Alligator mississippiensis: one gene and its partner. The protein of the gene in region 1 purifies or fractionates together with the protein of each later gene. This does not show direct contact. Links are inferred from orthologs where the notes say so. Each region holds a gene or a part of one and is shown in the gene's direction. Other genes may lie near its edges.

Region 1 (11,133 bases):
AACAGCATTTCTTGGATCAGCCAGGAGGCTGTATAAGCATGACCTTTCTGGCCAATAAAAACTGTGGTGGTAGTAACCCACATACTGAGTTTTCCTTTAAGACACCCAGATAAAAACCCAAACACCCAGACTGACATCCAAACTCCAACCCAAGGCCCACATGTTCAAACACTATTCTCTCTCCCCTATTCATAATTTTGTAACGTCTCTGTGGCAACTACAATTTCTTACATGGCAAAAATGATAACAATAATGTTTTACCTTCTGTTATTAAACCAAATTAGCACTTGGAAATAGAGAGGAGACCCCACACTATCTAACCAGCATTTTAATCCACCAGCAAGAGCTTTATGATCTGTCATTTGAAAACTACATTGCTACAATGTATAAGGAAAAACATATTAAAAATTCTAATTCTTAGTGAAGTTACTAAACATGGCTAGTTTATACAGCAGCAATAGTACACAACATTAGATAAAAATTCCTCAACTCTCTTCTTGGTGTCACTCGGGCAATTTTTTTTCCTCATCTTAGGACAGGTGGCAGCTGTACGAGTGCATCTTGACTAGATATAAAGGGAAAACAAGAAGAAAAGAAAAAACTGTTTGAGAGGTTTATAAGAATCCACACCATAAACTGCAACTGTGTAGCTATGTAGCTATACATTTAGGGAGTTATTAAAACTCAAATTTGCATAAATGGGATATTGAAGCTTAAATTCTAGAACTATTACATTATGTAAATAACTGAACAATTCATAAATGCTGATATGGGACATTCAGCATTATGCACATGCACGGGCTCAATCCCTGTCTCAAATACCCTGGTCTGATGCCACTTCCAGTTCTGTAATCAAGACACAGCTGAATCATCAAAATTACAACAGAGACTCTCAAATTATTCCTGTGCTTCTAGTTACTCTGCTCTCAGTTATATAGTTATGTAGTGAAATTTAAAAGCCCACATACTAAAATACACAGTAAAATAATTACTTTATATCTGGAGGCTGCATTTCTAGAGACAAGAGTGGCTATTGCTACAATCCTTAGTTAGTTCAATCTCTCAGTAGAGTTTATGGTCACTAACTGCTCAATAGACTATACAGAACAGCTGCATTGCATTGCTTCCAACCTCAAAATATCCTTTCCCCCTAGTTTTGATTCCTCACTCTTGCAAAGATCTTCACAAAATACATTAATATTTGGTCTATGTTAGAATCACAGGGAAAATGGGGCTGAATGGGACTTCAGAAAGTCCACTAGCCTAATACCCTGTTCAAAACCAGATCATTTCTAAATCATCCTATATACCATCCTAAATAACAAAATTGTCTAACCTGTGCTTAAACATTTCCAGTGATGGAGAGCCCACAGTCCCTCTAGGCTAGAGAAAGAAGCAGATGAATTTCATCTACCTCAGTGACCCATAATGAGCATTAGCCATCGCAAAGTCAGGACCTGTTGGATATGTAGTTGATGGCTGAGATTGCTACGTGGCCCAGTGTTACATGGGTGTTTGCTTGCCTTCACCTAATCTGGTAAAATACATCTTAAACTTACCCGCCCATTGCAATACTTGTTGCAGGGAGTTCCTGTTCGGTTGTTTGTTGGCTGTGCTTAGGTAAGGTGGCATCACGGGGTGGGGAGGAATCACGAAACATTTTCATTAATATGATCCTTTATTTCAGGTTATTTTTGTGCCTGTGCATGTAGATTTCGCATTTTAAAAAAGATATGAAATTCTGCCAAGTATCTTTACATAACTAGCTTAGCTTGAAAAAAAAGTTGATTGACTTATTAACAATTTACCCTAGTTTTCAGGAAAATGGTTTGCCTGTTTCTTTCTGAAAATTTTCCTTTAAAAACCACAAATTCTTTTCAGTTTTGGAACGCAATAAAGTCTCCATCACTGGAAATTTTTAAGTGCCAGTGAGAGAGATTTTTTTGTCTTGGCTAGTTTAGACAAAAATGATCCTATTTTGAACAGGCTATTTGGCTAGTGGATTTCTGGAGGTCCCATTCAGCCCCGTTTTCCTATGATTCTAACATTGGCCAAATATTCAGGTATTTTGCAACCATCTTTGCAAGCGTGAGAAATGAAAACTATGAGAAAAGGATGACAAGCTGCTGGGATTGCAGCTGCCAGTAGAGATTGGCTTGTTACATTGACACCTTAGGTACACAGCTAGTCTGCACTAACATTTCCTGTTATTACCCTTACTTCAGCCTCTGTTCTCTCTGGTTCCTCTCACCTGCCTGTTCTGTCTTGTCTTTTCAACACCGATCTTACAGTGTGCTCATGCACAGGTAGAGCTACTCTGCTGTCACATGTGGAGGTGTTGCCCTGTGGGGTCAGTCCAACTCTCAGGATCTCAATATTGCACTGTTAGATAGGAGGGTGTGACACAATTGCACATATACAAACACACAAATCAATTGGGTGCATACACACACACACAATACCAGCTCAGGGACATACACATCCAAACCAGCCTAGGCACATGCATACCTATCACCAATTCAAGTACATACACTATACACCCCAAAAGTTAGACACAGATCACTAATTTGTATATCATGCACACAATGACATATATATATGTATATATACACACACACACACTCACCAGTTCACACACATACACATCCACACAGGTAAATTCCTAATTTGGATGGTACAGTGTATATGTGTGTGCTTGGGGTACCTGGGATACTTGGGGGAAGGTTCAGGTGAGAGAGAGAGAGTTAAAGCGCAGGGAGTGAAAGTTGCCAGAACCAGGAGTAGAACCAGTGGACTACAGAGAAGCTGGCTGAGGAACCAAGGCTTAGGATTACTTAAGGTAGACTGGGGCTGAAAACTGAGGCAGACAGCTGAGATATTGGGCAGGGGAGGCAGATAAGTGGTGGCAAGGAGGCGACAGTCAGGAAAGAAACTGAGGCAGAAACCTGGATGCTCAGGGGAAAAGGAAAAGGCAGAGGGAATAAGACAGTGGCAAAGAAACAGGGGGTTTGGAGGCAGAGAGGAGCTCAGGACAAGTGTTGGAGGTGGCAGTGAGCCAGAAGCAGGAGAGGGAGAAATGAGACAGAAGTTAGAGGGGCGAGGAGCAGAGATTGGAGCAGGGCCAAACCCTAGTAAAGCAAAACCCAACTTAGGGGTCCAAATAACAGTTTTATTAACAAGACAACACACTACACAGTCCCATGAAGTTATTGGTTCACACATGCACATGCACACGCGCGCGTGTGCACACACACACACACGCACTCACAATGGCAGCAGGAGAAAGAGACTCAGTGGAAGGGTTGGAGTCCAGGTGGGGAAGAGAAGTGGAGTCCAAGTCCTTGGTTGAAGAGGGGGTGATAGCTACCTATCCAGGCTGGAAAGGGGTCTTTGTCCAGCAGGTGTTGTCCAGAGGGGGGGTCGTCGGCAGGGCCTCTGGGTGGATAGGTGGTGTGGCATGGTGCTGGTCCAGATGGAGAGGGCGTCCCACGGGGTCTGTCTTCACTCCCCCTTTTTATAGGAGCAGATTCTGTGTGACCCTAGTGACAGGAGGCATGCCCCGGTAAGGGTCAGCCCCTGGTTTACTGAGCATGTGTGCTCCATGCAGGGATGTGCAGTTTCGTGTGTCTGTAATGGTGGGGTACAATGGTAGAGTTACTAGTTCTGTAGGATTTTTTGTCTTTCAAATGTTGGGTTCTTGTCTCTGTTCCTGGGTGAGGTCCATGGTTCCTGGATGAATCAATGCGAGGTGATGGCCTAGTCGTTACAGACAGTACAGGCCTGCTACCATTGTATTTCACTCATTCCCAATCGCTCTCATTCATCCTGGAACCAATTGACATGGGAGGGGTACATGAATCATACAGTTGCAACACAGGGGATGCTCAGGCAGAGGACGCAAGACGGAGGCTTGACATACAAAATGGAAACTTGACATGACTTATGCTAACTTACATATATAGGCCTAAAACAGTAATCACACAATATAAAAGCAGTACAAACATAATAATTATCACTTATAAAACAGTGGGTATCGATATCAAAATAGTAGGGAACTTATTTGCAGAGGGGAGAGAAAAATAAAACTTACTACCTAAAATAAAATGTTAAAGCTTATCCTACATCTTAGCTTACTTATACTTCTCTATAGGGAATAGAGAGGGAGAGAAAAAGTCAGAAATGGTTGGGGAAGGGGAGGGAATGCATTTTAAAATAAATAAAAAAAAGAAAAACTGCGGGTTTTGCTACAGAGGTACCAGGGGATTCACTGGGCCTATACAGAGAAACAGCTCAGGTGTTAACATGGAAATACAGGCCTGGAAGAGACCTTTTCAGTGGTGGACCCAGGGGTGGTGCCATGATGCACTTGCACAACCCTTAGATTCTGGGTCCCCCTGCAACGTTTAAAACCAACTGCCTGGCAGTGGCAACAGCACTTCTAGTTAGGCACTGCAGAATGAGTCCATTGACTTCATGACTCATAATCTACTTCATCCCTTTATCCCTTCTAAACTCTTAATCCTCCTGAAATGAACAACTCTCTCTTCTTTTTAATGGTCTTGATGTTCAAGCTCACCTTATGTCTGCCATTCTCCAGTCTCTTCACTGCTCCTGGTCATTAAACTCCTCTTTCACAGTCCAGCAAATTGTTTTTGCTTTTGCTTTGACCTTAAAATGAGTAATCCAGCCCTAGGCCCTGAGAGTATTAGTAAAGCATCCGGTTTATTTTTAACCAGAGAAAAACATGTGTGGTTTTTATTTGTGCTGATGCACCTCACCAGCTGCATGCCCCCCCTCCCCCCTTAGATCTGCCCATATGCCTCTTGGTTCTTTGTGTCCAGCCCCTGGACACCATGTTACATGTTGCCAGAGGACCCCTCACTCATCAGGCCTTTGGGGCAGGGACTGTTTGTATGCTGTTGGGCCCAAAAGAGCCCCATATGACCACACATGTGATGGCAGGAATTCTAACAAGGTTCTCGAGGCGGTTGGCATAGGGATGAGCCTGCCTCAGGCGAGGGGTTGAACTAGATGAGCTGTGGAGGTCCCTTCCAGTCCTCCCTTTATTCTATGGTCCTATGATCTCTGGATGGGAGTATGTAGATCTCTTTCCATCCCTGCCTCTATTCTGTAATCCTGTGTTCTCGGGATGGGGGTATGTAGGTTCTTTCCATCCCTGGCTCTACGTTCCTGTGGTCTCAGGATGCGGGTATGTAGGTCCTTCTCAGCCCCTCCTCTCTATTCTAGTTGATGATCTAGTTGAGGATGGTCCTGCTGTGAGCAGGGGGATGGACTAGTCCCTTCCAACCCTCATTTTTGATGATCCTGTGGTCTCGGGATGGGAGTATGTAGGTTCTTTCCAGCCCGGCCTCTATGATCCTGTGGTCTCTGGATGGGGGGTACATAGGCCTTTTTCAGCCCTGCCTCTATTCTAGTTGATGATCTAGTTGGGGATGGTCCTGCTTTGAGCAGGGGGATGGACTAGTCCCTTCCAATCCTGAGGTCCTTTCCCCCTCTCGTTTTCTACGACCTGTCATCTCCAGATGGGGGTAGTTAGGTAGGTCCCTTTTAGCCCTGCCCCTCTCTTCCAGGTGATGAACTAGTTGGGGATGGTCCTGCTCTGAGCAGGGGGGTGGACTAGTCCCTGCCAGCCCCCATTTGCGATGATGCTGTGGTCTCCGGGTCGGGGTGCGTAGGTCCCCTCCAGCCCTGCCTCTACGGCCCCGCGCTCTGGGGCTGGGCGGACGCGGGTCCCTTCCAGCCCTGCCTCGCTGACCCCGCGGCTGGGCGGCGGGCAGGCGGGGAGCGCTGCGGGAGCCCCGCGAGACTGGCGGAGGGGGCGGGAAAGCCCGGTCCATCCAAGCCGCCCGCTGCCTCCATCTCCGAGCCGGCCCGGCCGGTCCCGCGCCCACACCTGACGGAGCGCGCCGCGGCCCGGCCCGGCTTGGCGCGGCGCCCCCCTCTGCCGCGGCCGCGAGGGGCCGGCTCGGGGCGGAGCGGGGAGAGGCTGGGGGGGCAGGAACTACTGTGCGAGGGAGAAAGTCCTGCCCAGCTGTTGGCGAAGTTTTTAAGATTTCCTGTTTCCCCTGCAGCGCCCGAGTGACTCACTCCCCGGCAGCCTGCGAGCCTCCGCCGCGGCCTCCCGCTCGGCCCGGCCCGGCCCGGCCCGGCCCGGCCCCGCCATGAGTCCGGCTCGGGGGCTGCTGCTGCTGCTGCACGTCTGTCTGGGCTGCGGTGAGTGTCCGCCGCGTCCGGCTGACAGCGCTGGCGGGGAGGCGCGGTGCCCGCCCCGGCCCCCGGGAGGAGCCGTGCGCCGTGGAGGGCAGGGCGCTGCTGGGCACCCCTTCCCAGCCAGGGCAGGGGAGTGGAGGGGATGAATGCCCCCTCGGCCCAGCTGTCCGGCGGCTTGGCTGTTCCTGGCACTGCTGGAGACGGGGCATCTCAGCAGTGCCCAGGGAAGGCAACTCAGCTCCCTGTGTTGTGCCTGCATCCCTGAGGTGGTTGCTCCTTGGGGCGGCGTGTGGGCCCTGGTGCACATGGGGTGAAGCGGACAGCTGCGTCTCCCAGGCGCTACCTGTCAAGTGGTGGCAGATGCCCTCGGGAGGACTTGGGATCTGCTTTCGCTCCCAAAACGGCTGCGGTGCGGGATTGGACAGCCATACCCCACCCCCCTTTGCCAACTCGATAACACTCCCCTGGATGTTTTTAAGCCCCTCCAGCTCCTAGTGCTAGTCACAGATGGATTTGTCTCCTGCCAAAGGTCTGCCAAGGGGCTTGGCCAGTGGAGGGGAAAACAAGGCCCCTGCCTTGAGAAGTTGGTAGTCTGGGGTTTCTCATCCTACACCTACACCTCTGCAGGCAAGCTCAGCATGACTGCTCGCATGTCAAAAGCTGCTCCTGTAGGCGCACAGGGGAGTAGGCCCCAAAACCTGCTTGTGAAAGCAGGGTTGCCTGTTAGTACTGCAAGGTCCAGAAACTAAGGAAGTGCTGAGGGGCCAGAGGCTGGTGGATTTTTAACTTGCAAACAGCTTTTATAAATCAAGTGGATACCTAGAACCGAAGGCACGTATTAAGGTACTAAATACCTATCCTTAGGTCCTCAAGTAACATGATCACTGTGTAAACTGCTGAACGGTTCTGGAATCTGTCTCTCTCCTCACGTTCCTTTAATTGGCCTGTATCTGATCAGTAAATAAGCACTCCACCAAGCCGTTGTTCCTTATCGTCTTTTAGCAATCATCCAAAACTGCTGATGCTGTACATACTTGAGTTGCTTTTTGCACAGTGAGTAATCTTGTCAAAGCTAATAGAACTGCACACCTGGACAGTTTTTGGGACAGATGTGACAATGATATAAAGTTTGTATCTTAAAGAAGGCAGCGTATGGATGAAGGCTTATCGTAGCATAAGAATTTTGCACCTGATATATTCAGCCTTCTGCCTGAACTTTTTTTACGATGATGTGTTTTTGGTACCTAATAAGTGATGATTGTGATGACTGTGATAATATTTGTTCTTGGGCAATGAAAATAAAGTAATCCGTTGCACTTGTTGAAAGTCATTTTCCAGTAAGTTCCTATTTCAAGTTCTTTTGCATTAACCCAATTTTGTAAACTGTAGTTTTTCTTCCTTTAGACAATGATGAGGCAGATCTTTAGTTATTGCGGATTGGTATTGGTCACTTGATATCAGTGGAGCTATACAAATATACACACAAGCTCAGGATCTGGCCCAATGTGTTTCAATTTGAATTTTTGAAAGGTTAATGGATACATTTGATTTTAGTTTAGCTCTTAACTTTTGTAAAAGATTATACCTTATAACCTATATTTAACCAGAGTGTGTTCTTTTAAAACCAAGCACTTTTTTTTTCCAGGATGAATTGTTATAGCTTCAAACTTGTTTATAATATAACAGTAGGAAACGATAATTCCTAGTTGTTAAATGTGAAAAGGTTTTGTATGAGTAGTCCTATATTATATTTGTTTACAAGATTGAGGATGGAGCTTTTTAATATGATTTAAAAATGTATATTCATAAATCTTCATCCAATAATAGTTCCTCTTCTGGGGGAGGAGGGGAGGAAAGGAGAACACGGTGTTGTTGTGGCACCAATTGATGAAGTTTCTCATGACCAGATTTCCTCTGCAGGATATTTTTAAATTGGTATTTTTGCGTTTGTGGTGTAGGGACTTTTTCCTTGTAGTGTCTGTATCACAGCTCTGCCGTGTTCTTTCTGCAGTTACACTTCTGTGTCCCCACTGCAACACCACTAGCTTCAGTAGAGTTACTCCAGTTTGCACTGCTGTAAATGAGCAGAACCGAAGCTGTGGACCTTATTCTTTAGTGCTGCCACCTTGTGTAGCAATTTGCATATGGGCAAAGTGGGTATTAAATGTGAATACTCATGCAAAGGAAAAATTATAGTCTGAAAGTGCTTTACACATGCAGTATGCTTTGAAAGTATCCTTCAGTTCTGCTGAGGTGGTAGAATCCAAAGCTTTCAGCCACCTTTTTGACACTACAATCCTGGGCTTGGCTGGAGCCACTTTTGGCCTCCAGCATAATTGAGAATTCAACTCTGAACTATTGTTACTTATTCACACCTGCTTATGACCCTAAAGGGCAATTCTGGCATCTGGTATTCCCTGAATTCTCAGCTTGGCATATTGCAGAAGTTTCAGATGCTTTGCAGCTTCCAAACAGTGCAAACCAGGTAGTATGTGGTTAGTTTTGTATGGAGGTAAAGGACTACATAGGTCTTTGTAGTACAAACCAGTGCAGAATCAGTCCCTCTGTTGTAAAATGGGAAATCTCTTATAGCCCTACCTTCAAAGAGTCAGTGCCATTTTCTTCCATCTAGTTTGCTTAATTTTTATTTATTTATTTATTTATTGGCCTCAGAGCTCATCAAGTATGTATTTTCTTTTTCTACCTAATAATGAGAATAGGATGTAAAGTTGCTTTTGGTCAGTAGAAAAATGAAAATGGGTGGGTATTTTCTTGAATAAAGCTAATCGGAGAAGATGGAAATAGCCCCAAATAAGTAGAAAGAATGGGCTTAATCTACAGAATATTCAGGCAGTCTTGAGCTAGGGACAGAAATTACATATAAACCAGTATAAGAAACTGGTTCAGATCTGTAACAAATCAGAAGTTCAGTGCACATAAGCCACATTAGAAATGGCCAAAATGGTTTAAGATAAATCTGGATGGATGTAGTATCAGACTTAATTGATTTAGGTTAAATCAGTTTATTGAACTCCTGTCCCAGATCCTGTCCAGATTCAAGTAGACTTGCAGTCCCCTGGCTTCCCAGAATGCTTTGCACCTCTTCTGCCAACCCCAACCCCACCTTGTAGGGCTAGCCTTGGCCCAAGCTGTCTGCTCCAGTGAAGCAGGGAGTCTTACTCTAGCACCCCCGGCTTCTGACCTGAGCCACTGCAGGCATGGGGCTGTATTTCCAGAATCAAAAGTGAATGTCTGTTCACTTGTTTATCGGCTCAATCTATACAGCTTAGACTAACTTGAGAAGATTGAATAGATTCAGCCTCAGTCTTTTTGACTGTGAGTTCTTAATCTTGATGTTCAACTCTGTTAGTGGGTGGCTGTGATAAGAGTTAAGAAATTAAACCTCATTCTTGCTACCTCCTTGCCTCTGAGTAATCTGTTTATTACAAATGAGCACTGCTTTAGTTAGTGTAGAAATGAGACTGAGCATGGTTACTATGTCAGAGTGTAATGGGACTGTTTCTGAGACCAAGTGAAGCATTCTCTAGTAAATGCATGATCTGGTTTTAGTGCTGTAAGATAAATTTTCAACATGTATCTAAGACTTGTGTAATATCCAATAAATATAAAGTAGGGTAAACTGATATCAGTTGCATGCACCCTTATCACCAACTATCTGAAAGCATGAAATTGTAGTTTACATGTAGGGTTTTAGGCCTGGAAAGATGTGTTCCAAACATAATATAATAGTGAGTTTCTTCCTCAGTATGAGCCTGATTTCAGGAAAAGAATTAAGCACATGATTGAATAATGTCACACACCAAGAAGCTCTTAAATATGTTCTTAAGTCTTGTTGATTTTTGGTGGGATTTAGGCAGTCCTTAACATTAAGCACACGTTTAAGTGCAGTCTGAGTACAGATGCTCTACTCAGGCAGGTCCTTCTTCAGTTTATTCCCATTATGACAAAATTTAGCAACTATTCTAAACTGTAAAATGGGTGTATATCACCAACATTGGCAAGAAAAATACTAATTAGTAGATTTCAGTGGTAGCTTCACCTTTGTAAATAATTGAAGAGCCTGTTTCTGGACAGTTAAAACAGTCTTAACCTTATATCAAAGTGGATATATTTCTATATCTACATTAAAGGGTTAATGCAACACATTTAGTTCATAAGATAGCATGAAACTAGCAGTATTCGATCACTATCTTTTTACTCCCCACAAGCATCCAAAGACTTAGGGCTAGATCCATGAGCATCTTCAGGTTCCTATCTTTCCCACATTTCAGTGAGTGTTAGGCACCTGAATACTCTTGTGTAGTTGGGCCTTTGTCCTTTGGTTCTCCTAGGTACAACACATAGAGCACCTCTTGTCCTGCGAGAGATTATTGTCCCCACTTTCTTACTCCTTACGGCACGGTGTTACATTACAAATGCCTTTGAATATAAAAGAGTTATTTGCTTGTGCGCAGAGGGAAAATACAAGGTGCCAGTCAGGCCCTATGGATTTCTGAAATAATCACTAATACTTATATTAACTGTGGTGAGAAGAATGTTTTTATATTAAGGGATTATATAATGGTTTCCAGAGTAACATTGGAGTGGGGGTTCACATCCCATTGTGTGTGATCCTAACGGATCCAAGATTATTGTTATGATTGATATTACTGTAACGCTTTAAGGCTTCAACTGAGTTCAGGACCTTATTATTCTAGGCACTGTACAGCCACATGATAAAAGACAACTTCTGTACCCAAGTTTTGTATTCTAAATGTGTAGACCAATATACAATACAGGTATGTTGGTATTAAACACTAAAATGTAATGATCCTTTAGGCCACATCTAGAGTGGGAATTTGTCGTATCCATCAGCAGCATTCTCAAATATGCTGTACAGTT
Region 2 (10,722 bases), on another chromosome or scaffold:
GTGTACACTTATACAGGGGATCATCTTGTGTGTGTGTGTGCCCTGCCCTGCCCTGCCCTGCCCTGCCCTGCCCTGTGGGAGCCTTTCTTGTATCCCTTCTACTTTGCGCAATAGATATTTGGCGTCACACTCCAGGAACCCAAAGTTTAGTATAAGAACACAGTGTAATGCAGAGACATTAACACCACCTCTGGCCTCTACCTGACCCCTCTGATTAAATGATTGGGCTGCTCAAGATGTCATTAAAAGTCACATTTTTTTCCCTCAGGATTATGTGGCCTGACTTCCACATCAGCTGATCCCTTTCCACTGGAGCTTTTGCAGAGAAGTCAAGTAGGAGGCAGTTTCAGTTCAACTCATTGACATCCCCGTACCCACCAGCTTATTCCTTTTGTCTCAAGGAAATGCCTGTAGCCCAGTGTATTTAGCACACAGCAGTAAGGGCCAGAGGAACACAGCAAGTAGGAGAAACCCTCTGGCCCAAGGAGGTCATGGGTTGCATGGATCTGATTAAGGTAAATGGCAAAACTGATTATATCAAATACAAGAGTGGTGCCAAATGTATGCAGACCTGTTCTCCATCGCTGTCTGGGTACTAACAGTCCCTTAAATGTGACTGCAGCTTTCACTTTTTGGCCACCCTCTCAGGACACCTCATTAACATCCACTTCAGAAGGTTCCCAGGGGCAGGAGGAACGTGGCAAGTCAGTGGTAGAGCTGAGATGAGACCGCAGGATCTCATGACCTCACGGACTAGACCTATGCTTGCTCCTCCGGTCCTCTGTGCCTTTGGACTTGAGCAGTGTAGGTCATAGCTGTGTTGGTCTAAGGACATACCCAAAGAGACTTGTCTGCCTAAATCCAATATCTTTTACTAGACCGACTCAAATGGAAAATTCTTCTTAGCAAGATTTCAGGCATAAACACCCTTCGTCAGGCTGAGGAAGACTCTGAAATCTTGCTAAGAAGAATTTTTCAAACTATTTGAGTCGGTCTAATAAAAGATATCGGATTTATCCAAAGAATCTTATCTGCCTTTGGACTTGAGCAGCATCCATGGGCAGTGTGGCCCAGTTTGCTGTGTGACCCACTCCAGCAGGAGGCAGCACCAGCCTGCAGGCAGACCTACTGACCAGGGGCAAGCACTCCATCAGCTTCCCTTGTGCTGTAACTGGTGCTGAAGTAGGTGGCTCTGGAGCTGATTAGTTACATCAGCCAGTGAAAGGGGATAAGTGAAGAGATGAGAGGGAGCAGAGCTGGGTAGACTTACAGTTGCACAGAGTAGACACAAGTCTTGCACACTAGTGTCATCTGGAATAACTCCAATGAAGCTAGAATTCAATGGGAGTAAAATTAGAAGGAGAGGAGAATTAGTCCTTTCCTCCCCCTTCAAGGGCCAAGCCCATTTAAGCAGGGAGGAGTGGATGGCCCAGTGGTAATAGTGCTACCCTGGGTCTCGGGGCATCCTAGTTCAATTTCCTGCCCTGCTACAGACTTTGTGACCTTGAGCAAAGCAATTAAGTGCTCTCTGCCTCAGTATCCCCACCTGTGAAATGGGAGGGCAGTGCTATTAGTCCCTATGGTACTGCCCGTATACCAAGGGTGTGTGGAAAAAGGGAAGCCAGCTCCTTGCAAGAGTGACGGGTCAGGCTGACGACAAGGGAGGCGGTGATGTGCGGACACCTGACTGAGCAGCAGGGGTCCCAGACAACGCATTTCCACCAGTTTGTGTCCTGTGTCAGGGGCGCCCTGTGGCAATGCAGGAACCTCCTGTTATACAGGCACGCCAAGCTCAAGGAAACAGACTGCGTTAAAATGTTTCTGAGCGAACTTTAGTCCTACCGCCAGAAATTGGTGAGTGAGGATGGAGAAGATGCAGCCAACTTCATCTGGAAAAGCGACACCTGGCACTGGTTGTTCAAAGACCCCTCAGGAGGGAAAGTGGACAGAGAGAACGAAGGGGACAGAGATGCAGCTGGACCTGGAGACAGCAAGAAGGACTGCAACAGGATTAGCAGCAGCAGAAGTGACAGCGATAAGGACAGCGAATGAACTGAGAATAGCCCAAACCCCAATTTGGGGTTTCATAGGAGTGTGATTGGGGTAGGTGAGGGTGGAGGGTAGGTGTGCAGGGGAGTGGGTGTGTTTGTTGTAACGGGAAGTGCAGGCTTCTAAATGTGGTTTTAAGATGTGTGATGGAAAGTTTATAACGGAGGGTGGAGGGGTGTATATAACTCTCTCTCTCTCACATACATATATAATTTTAATTTCAAAAAAGAAAAAGGTGAGAGAGAGAAGAATCATGTGCTAATGTGGCCCAGGGCTGGGAGCTGGGGGATAGGCTGCCCCTGACTCTGAAGACACCTCTGCCAGGACATTAAGCCTGGTCCTGCCAGAGGCTCTGCACCTTCCGTGCTCCTCGCGGGGAGGAACTGTCGGCTGAAGGGGCCGCGGCTGAGCCTACACGTCTCGGGGAACAGCAAACAATGGCACCGGGACCTCCGCACGCTTCGTTCCATCCTGTTGTCCTCTCCCTACGCCAAGAGGCTAAGGCTCGTTCTTTCCTGCCATTGGGGCGACTGGCCAGGAAGAAATGTGTTACCACAAACATGCGGGTTGTCAGCAGGGCACTTCCCACCCACCTTGAAGACAGATCAATCCATCGATCTCTGCCTCTAGCCCCGGCCAGGCCAAAGATAACAGAGGGGGAAATGCAAAGGGCCAGCTGTATATACAGCTATTCCAGGAGGCAAGGCCTTTCAGGTCATGTTCCTCTTTGATCTCCTGGAGTCAATGGGAACCGACCAGTCAGGAATGCGTCTCGTCCAGCATGCGGCGTGGAGAGAGACACGCTCCAAGGCAGACGTGTAAGGCACCGGATGAAGGGCCAGACTGGATGCAGCCCAGGCGTCTGCTGGAGGAGGGCTCTGTAGGCGAGGCTTGGCCGAGAGCATGTGCTCTAGAGGGAGGATTTGACTGGAAGGGAAGGCGCCAGCAGTGGCATTCAAGCCCTGGAGGGTGCTGGTGGGGGGCCTGTGAGAAAGGGCAGGGGATCGGCCTTCCCCGCCTTCTCCCCTTGGAGCTGGACTCTTGCGCCTCTTTGCCCCCTAGCTCTTGCTGGGCGCCTTGCTGGCTGTATGAGCACTGTGTTGCTTGCCATCTGCCTGGCCAACCCTGTGGCTGTTGCTGTAGCTTTCTGGCCACCTCCTTCCAACCCAAAGCCTATGTGTGAGGCATTCACTTGGCTCTTGGCATCCTTGTGACACCTCCTCCTGCCCCACAGCTACCTAAACATCTTCTGCATCATTCAATGGCTGCTGCCATGCAGAAGCAGTGGGATAAACATTTGCTCCTGCCTTTGATCCCTGGTGCCACCTGTTCATTTGTTTGAAGTCATGGGAGACCTGGCCCCCAAGCCTGGGGTGGCACGTACTGCCCTGATGCGTGCCCGAGTGCAAGCAAGAAAGGGAACCAAGACAGTCCTCTGCATCCCCGTTTCCCACTGAGGTGGCAATGGAGCAGGAGTGGCTTTGGAGGCCTGCCTTCGACCCTTGTTCTTCCCAGTACTTGTTTCCCCCATCAGGGACCTGGGATGCCAGGGGGCTGTGGGGGAGCAGCTGAGAGGAGCCCTGCAGTCTGGGAGAGTGAGGGACCAGGTGCTTGAGAGCAGCAGGGAGCAAGAGCAGCCTGTAACTAGCTGAGAGGCAAATGGGTTGCTGATCTCAAAACAGCCCCTCTTCCATGGTGTCCTGGACACTGCTGTGGGCTCTTTCCAAACACCCACAGCCCTTCCACGTTGCCAGCATGCGGGTGCTGTCCCGTTATCTTGACGGCACTCTGGATTCAGGAGCCAAACCCTGGGGAGAAACCCAGATGGACCTGCCTTTTTCCGCAGGTCCATCTCTGATTCTGAAGGGTCTGTCTGAGCCCCAGGAGCCTGGTCTGCCTGGGCTGAAGTGCTGTGGCCATGGGAATGATCACCCGTTCCCCTCTGCCGCTGCGGCCCCTTGGCTCCCAGCTCCGTGCAGTCCCTGTTGTTCTGTCAACAGCAGGTCTTTAGCCCTGTCCTTGGATAGCAAGTAACCAGAGAATGAGGCCCCTGTGAAACGTTTGTCTCCTAACCTGGCTGCAAACTGGCTCCACACGTAAGGCTAGAAGGGACCCTCCTGAACCACATTGAGGCCCCTGTTGTGTCCAGTCGCAGCTCACAGCTAAGAGCCCATCCACGTCCGAGCCAGGGCCACAGGCTCCTTGCTCCAGTTGTAACTTTGGTGTGAACCAGCCCTTAGACTTCTGCACAGTGCCTGGATTAACAGCCACCTCCCACTACCTCTGACCTGCGGTGCTGCTGGGCGAAGGCCAGGGTGGAGTACGCTGGAAGTCTGTGCATGTTCCTGGTGGCAATGTAGGGAGGCCTGCAATAAAGGTCCACGTGATGCTGTCCCCGCTTTGTCTCCGCAGCACCATAGTCCCCAAGATCTCTCTGGGCTGACTGGGGCTGTTGAGCGGCTGCAGTGCTTCAGATTCTGTGTTGTCAGACCTATGAGTCCTGTTTGGTTGGGTTTTTTTCATTAAAATCAACATCCTCCCCTCTCTACATTAAAAACATAACAGTTTACCTCACTTCACCTGTCTGGGGTTGTGTGATCCCAGCATGTGCTCCTGCCAGCGGTGGGGGGTCAGACTAGATGATCCCTTCTGACCCCAAACTACCATGAAACTACATAACACATGTCCAAACTAGCATAGCATCTCCTCATTTACATGCCTTGACATCTACCGTTTCTTCCATCTATGTACTTCTTATCCTTTGGCAGTATGAGACCTGTGTTGTCAGACCTGTGTTGTTCAGGTCTTATGTCTCTGTTCGGCCTCCCACACATGCAGTTCCCACCTGGCTTCCCTCCGTGGTGCTGTGAGTGACACTTCTCCCCCCTCTGTCCCCTGCCATCCAAAGCACTGAAGACTGGCTACTGACTGTAAGTCTTGTATCCTTCCTCCCTCCAGATTCCCTGAAAGGAGGCTTCGGAGACAGTTCTACCCATTTTACAGAGAGGGAAATGGAGGCACAGAGGGGTGCAATGACTAGCCAAAGGTCCCCGAGATGCCAGCCAGGGACTCCCAGTGCTGTGCACCAACCGCTAAGGCACGTTCCTTCCTCAGGATGAGGCAGTGTCCACATACTTCCTGCAGCCCTTGAGGTGCATGCCCCAGTCCCAGCCCCAGCTCCATGCATAGTCTCCTACCCTGGGGCCCCTACAGATGATCTTTAGGATAGAGTGATGCCAGGGGATGATATGTGGCTCACTGGGCTGCAGAAAATCAAATGCAGGCCCGTGGGGGGGAACAGAGCCGCCTCCAGGAACCACCCATGGTCTAGGAGCCCCCTCCTGAGGAGAGGAGGGAGGACTGTGAGCACCCGGCATCCTGGCCGGCTCTCCTTCGGTCTCAGGACGCAGCCCCCACCCATTGCTGTCAGTGCATGACCTCCAGCAGAGGCTCGGAGCCTCTACAAACGGCATTTCCTCCCTCTTTTTGGCAGGCGAGCGTTTGGCAGACCCTCCTCTAAAGGGAGTTGATTTCCTGCCGCTTTGGGTCATCAGCACTGGGTTGAGTCAGTGCCGCACATTCAGGCGCTGTGAGTTCCCCTCCAGCACATCCTCTCGGCGGAGAAGCCGGGACACAACCAGCCACAACCTCCAGGTCCCTGCTTCCTTCTCTGCCACCGACAGCTCAGGAACTCCCCCAAGGCTGGAGTGGAGCAGATCCCCCTTCCTCCGCCTGCCTGCCCACAGTCCCATCGTGCAGTCGTGCAGCCCGTCGAGGCTCTCTGGGGCCAGGCCGCTGCCTCTGGACACGGGCTAAGAGGAGCCAGGACGCGACGCCGGAGCAGGAGGCAGCGTTCCCACGCCATGCAGACTCTCGTGTGCCTCACTGCGCTGCTGCTCTGCTGCTTGCGCGCCCACACAAGTGAGTTGCTCTTCCTTCCCCAGCTATTCCTGAGCTCAGCACGGGGTGGGGGGGGGGGGGGGGTGTTCATTTTGTCTCTTTCTGGCTTGTTTCTGCCTCTTCCTTCTCGCTGGCCTCCTCACCGCTCTCCTGAGCTCCCCGGGCCATTTTCGCAAGTCCTCACGAATTCAAGTCAAGCCAGGCGTTCCTCCTTCCCAGAGTCCTGCTCTGTCCCAGAAAGGCTGGGGCATCTGCCCCTGGTGGGAATCCCCCAGTTTGGTCTCCTCACCTTCTCTGTGGGGAAGCCAGTGATGCTGGGCTGGTGGTTCCCAGCTCCATCCAGCTTCTGAAGAAACAAGAGAGGTGGAAGCATGTCACAGCCCCAGCTCTGCTCTCTGCCAGCGAGGTTCGCTAGGCCTCCACCAGCTGCGCCGTGCCCCCCTGCTGCACTCCCAGGGCTGGGTCGAGGAGAGTCTGTGGCCGCTTGGGGCTGGGAGGTTGGTTGGTGCTGTGTAATGATTTGTTGCGAGGTCCTCAGGGCTGGGGGCAGTGTGCAGAGCTGCAGTGCGAGGCCGGTGGCTTTTTGTCATCAGAGTTGCATCTTGCAAAGAGCTAAGCACCTCCTGGAAAGTGCAAGGGGCTTCAGTGGGGACCACAGGCGCACTGCAGCTCCCAGAATCCAGCTCAGTGGGTCTTATCCAGGATCCATGGAAGTTGATGGACATACTCTCGATGGACTTTGGATCAGACCTATGGAAGCTGGAGGGAGCTGGATGTGGGGTGTTGGTGGCTTCCAGCAAACCTCCAGATAAACGGCTCTTAGGAAATACCCTGGGAGCAGACAGTGCAGAGCCAGTGGGAGCAGCTGCTAAGGGTTCATTTGGCCACAAGGTCACTCCTCCCAGGCTGGGATGCCCTGGGGTTACTGCTGGCTCCCGGAGAGCTGTGCAGCCATGCTGTCAGTGTTGCTTCACCACAGAACCTAGTGACCCGCGATGGGCACGGGCTGACTCAAGCCAGCCAAGGGTCTGGCTTTGCACAAAATGGCTTTTATTTTGATTACTCAGTAAAGTTGAGCCCCGGCTGTTGCAGGCAGAAGGCTGTGAGCTGGGGTTTTGCTGAGGAAACAGCTTCAAGTGGAGCCGGGAGTGGGGGAAGCCTGGATATGTCAGAAAGAAGTACGGACCACAGGTCATCCCCATTCCCCCTCTCTTTGGCTTTTAAAGCCCCAGAGCAGCAGCCGGGGAAGAGGGGGAAGGGGGGGAGAGAAGGGGAAACAAAGAAATCTCTCCCTCAAACTTAGCGGGCTTTGAAACCTGAGACTGTAAAGAAACAGGGAATTTGGCCAAATAGCCTCAATGAAGAGAAATCCTCTCACTGGGATCATCTAGTCTGGAAAAATAAGCTGCTTGGAGAACAGCCCAGCTGTGTTTCTTCACCCTTGTAAAAATCCTGTGAACATGCAGGCCAAAGAGTGAAGCAACATTGGGGCTGGTGCGGGGGAGAGTTTACTTGTCTCCAGCAACTACAGGCGAGCAAAAAATTGGAAGGAGCAAACATTTGAGTGCACAAAAAGAAATGTGCAGGCAAGGATCTCCCTGAGGGGAGGGTGTTAGTTCCCAAGAAGAATGAGAATTAAGTAGCAGAGATGGAGCCAAAATCTTGCTCTGGGGATGAACCATGGCTTTTGCCAAGGGACTGGCCTACATGGCCACATCCAGCCCACAGGGGTAGCGCTGCAGCGGGACGTGGTGGAAAGCTGGGATGGTCATCGCAGCAATCTGAGTCCACTCTGCAGTTTATAATGCTCTGAGATCGCGCTGCTTGGGTAGAGTTGAACAGATCAGCACAGCAGGCTTGGCAGGAGAAGCAGCTTCAGACCCAAGGTCAGGTTTCCAGGAGTGGTAGTGGCTGTGGAGATAACATAGTTACTGGGGGTGGTTTCTGAAATGCATGAGCCCCAGAGAGTGTGAAGGAAGGAAGAGCTTGACAGGCACTGCAACATCTTCAAGGGCATTATTTCTGCAGCTCGCTCAGCTCAAAGAAGAGCTCTGAAGACACGCAAATGTCTCTCTCAGCAGGGTCCGGGAGCAAGCAGTGGAATTTGAGTCAGGGTAGTGAGTTATTGCCAACGCCAAGAGATCGAAGATCAGGAGTCTGGTCCCAGACACCAGAGATTTTAAAACAGGGATTTCAAGTCAATTGAATCAATGTAAACTCTTTGTTTTTAATTTTCCTTTTGATTTCTGAGCCTTGGGGGTTGTGTTTGCAAGGTTTCAGAGGGTTACAGACTTGGTGCTTGAATGGAAAGCTGAGTTTCCTCTAATCACATGACTCCAGGAGCTGGGACTGTGAGAAAAATGCTGTCAAATATCAGAGGGGCTTGTGACAGAATCCTGGAAGTTGGTGAGCCCATAGTAAGGAGGGCTGGGAAAGCGGTTAGCTGGATCTGGGGATCACAGAGCAACCATTGGCTGTGAAAACAGCAGGGGCTGCAGGATCATTCCCAGAGCTCGTGCGATCTGTTGAGAGAGGGCTGCACTAGTCACCCGCGTGGCAGGGTTGAGTGGAAGGGATCTCTCCTGGAAGCCTCGCATGTGGTGGGCTAGCATACTTCAGGTGGGATTGGGGCACAGCTAGAGACTTGCACTGAGACACATCTGTCCCTGGTACAGCATCACTGACTTGCACCCACAAGGTCTTTATTCAAAGCCCCAAGTTTCCTCTGTGTCTCTGGTGGATCCCTAAGGATGGTCCTGTTCATTTCCACCATTGACTGTCTGCGTGATAGCCAAGGACACAGGCCAGGCCACACTTTGAAACCCCTGTGTCACTGGAAGGGAGTCTCCGCTGAAGAATTGGTCCAGCTGTATGCACTGGCTCAGTGGCCACTAGGTCAAAGTTACTACGGGGTTGGCCCCAGCCCAACAAGTGTATGTATGTGTGTTTCTCATTGTCCCGTGTCAAGCGTACACAGCGTGCGGTGCTGTCTGAGAGCCTGAACAGGCAGCCTGCTTGCACCTGTGTAATCTTCACTGGGTTTGTATACCTGTATTGATTATGGGGTCTAGAGGAGACATACAAGGTAGATATTCAAGTGTAGCTGTTCCCAGTATGCACCATTACAGTACCTCACTGCACCTGGGTAGGGAGCAGGCCATAGCCCGCTTGCACTGAGCAAATGGCTACCCTGGGATGGAAGATGTAAGTCACACCAGTATAGGCTGACTTCTCGTTCTTCCCCTGGTAATGCTATCCTGGACTTGGGGCAAGTTACACAGATGTAGGAGTATCTGTGGACTCCTTGTTCATACCAGTTCAAAAATGGCAACTATCCAAGGCCAGACACCAGTCCCTAGGTGCGAGAATCACCATGGCCCAGAGATGAGTAGATATTTCAAGCCTTGGAGACAGAGGGCAGCTCACAGGAAGGTGAGCCCAGCACTATGGCCTATGGCCTTTTGGCTAGAGGCAAGCAAGACTAGGGGCTATCTGAACTCCAGGGCCTCTGGGCTTGGAGTTTGCACATAGGATGCCCACCATGGATTTGGGAGCATCTGAAGTCCCAGGCTGACGAGTCTGAGAGGTAGGATACTTGCCAGTGGTAGTGCAACACAGACTTGAACAACTGCGCTCTGCTCAGTTGATAGAATTTGCAACTAATTTGGCCTAAGACACAAAATTATATATATAAGGGGGAAAGGGACCATTAGGGTATCTAGTCCCATCTGCTGTGAGAAGAAACTGTGTCAACTCAGCTGCTTTCAATTCCACTTATATATTTCTGTTAGCTAGAAAACAATTCCAGTAAATTGGCAGCAGTACGGTGCACGATGCTAATTAATGGCAGAGGGAAGACAAGACCAGTGGGTGTAATGCACATATAGGATTGCTCAAGGTGGGGGTGGGATTTAGGAAAGGGAGGTCTGGTTACAAGAGAAGGAAGCCAATATGGGCATGTCCGTACTGAGGAACTCCGGTTTCTTGTGCTTCTACCTCAAAGCACTTTATGGAGGCATAAACTGCGCCAAGCTCACTGAAATACAGACACCCCTGGGGGTGGGGGCAGCAGCTGTCAGCTCTGCGTATCAGTTCCAGACAGAGTGAAAAACCACCTTTGCCCACAGAAAGGGAGACCAGCTTGGGCACTCCCCAGCGTGCTCTGAGCACCCCCAGCCAGCTCTGATTAGCTGGGGATAGCCTGTGGGGCTGCAGATGGGGTGGGCCAGAGCAGAGTCTAGGCTGGGCCATGCAACCCTTTGCAGTTTTCTTTGAAGACCTCCGAATTCTTCCATACCAGGATTTCTCACATATTGTAAAGCACAGGGAAACAAGCGGCAGTGAAAAGGCAGGGAAAAAAGAAGAATTGAGGTAGATGTGTGTTGCGGGGGGGTAGAGATTTCCGTTTTGGTGCTGGATGCGGAATGGCAGTGGCTTTGGAGTATTTAAGGTACCATTAGGGTATCTAGTCCCATCTGCTGTGAGAAGAGACCACATCAGCTCAGCTGCTTTCAATTCCACTTTATATATAAGACCTCCTAAATCCCACCCCCACCTTGAGCAATCCTATATGTGCAACACACCCACCGGCCTTGTCTTCCTTCTGCCATTAATTAGCATCGTGCTCGGTGCTGCCGGCAATTTAGTGGCATTGTTTTCCAGCTAACAGAAAGGGTCTGATCATATGACTAGGTCCCTGGGCGCCAGGCTATGGCTGTATCTGTGCTTAGCAGTGACTTCTATTTTATACTGCCTGCGTAGTGAAATAAGGGA

Evidence for each region.
Region 2: the proteins of TGFBR2 (region 1) and ENG purify together in Homo sapiens (affinity purification with western blotting; 3 studies listed by BioGRID). This does not show direct contact. The link is inferred for Alligator mississippiensis from reciprocal best matches to the Homo sapiens genes TGFBR2 and ENG.

Annotation. Positions count from the first base shown.
Region 1 is NC_081828.1:143,382,649-143,393,781, reverse strand, and holds the start of TGFBR2 (TGF-beta receptor type-2), read left to right. Parts: upstream 1-6,078; 5' UTR 6,079-6,182; coding exon 6,183-6,234; intron 6,235-6,878; exon of another isoform or gene 6,879-7,074; intron 7,075-11,133. UniProt on the Homo sapiens protein: Transmembrane serine/threonine kinase forming with the TGF-beta type I serine/threonine kinase receptor, TGFBR1, the non-promiscuous receptor for the TGF-beta cytokines TGFB1, TGFB2 and TGFB3.
Region 2 is NC_081835.1:57,302,779-57,313,500, forward strand, and holds the start of ENG (endoglin), read left to right. Parts: upstream 1-5,566; 5' UTR 5,567-5,912; coding exon 5,913-5,970; intron 5,971-10,722. UniProt on the Homo sapiens protein: Vascular endothelium glycoprotein that plays an important role in the regulation of angiogenesis. Required for normal structure and integrity of adult vasculature. Regulates the migration of vascular endothelial cells.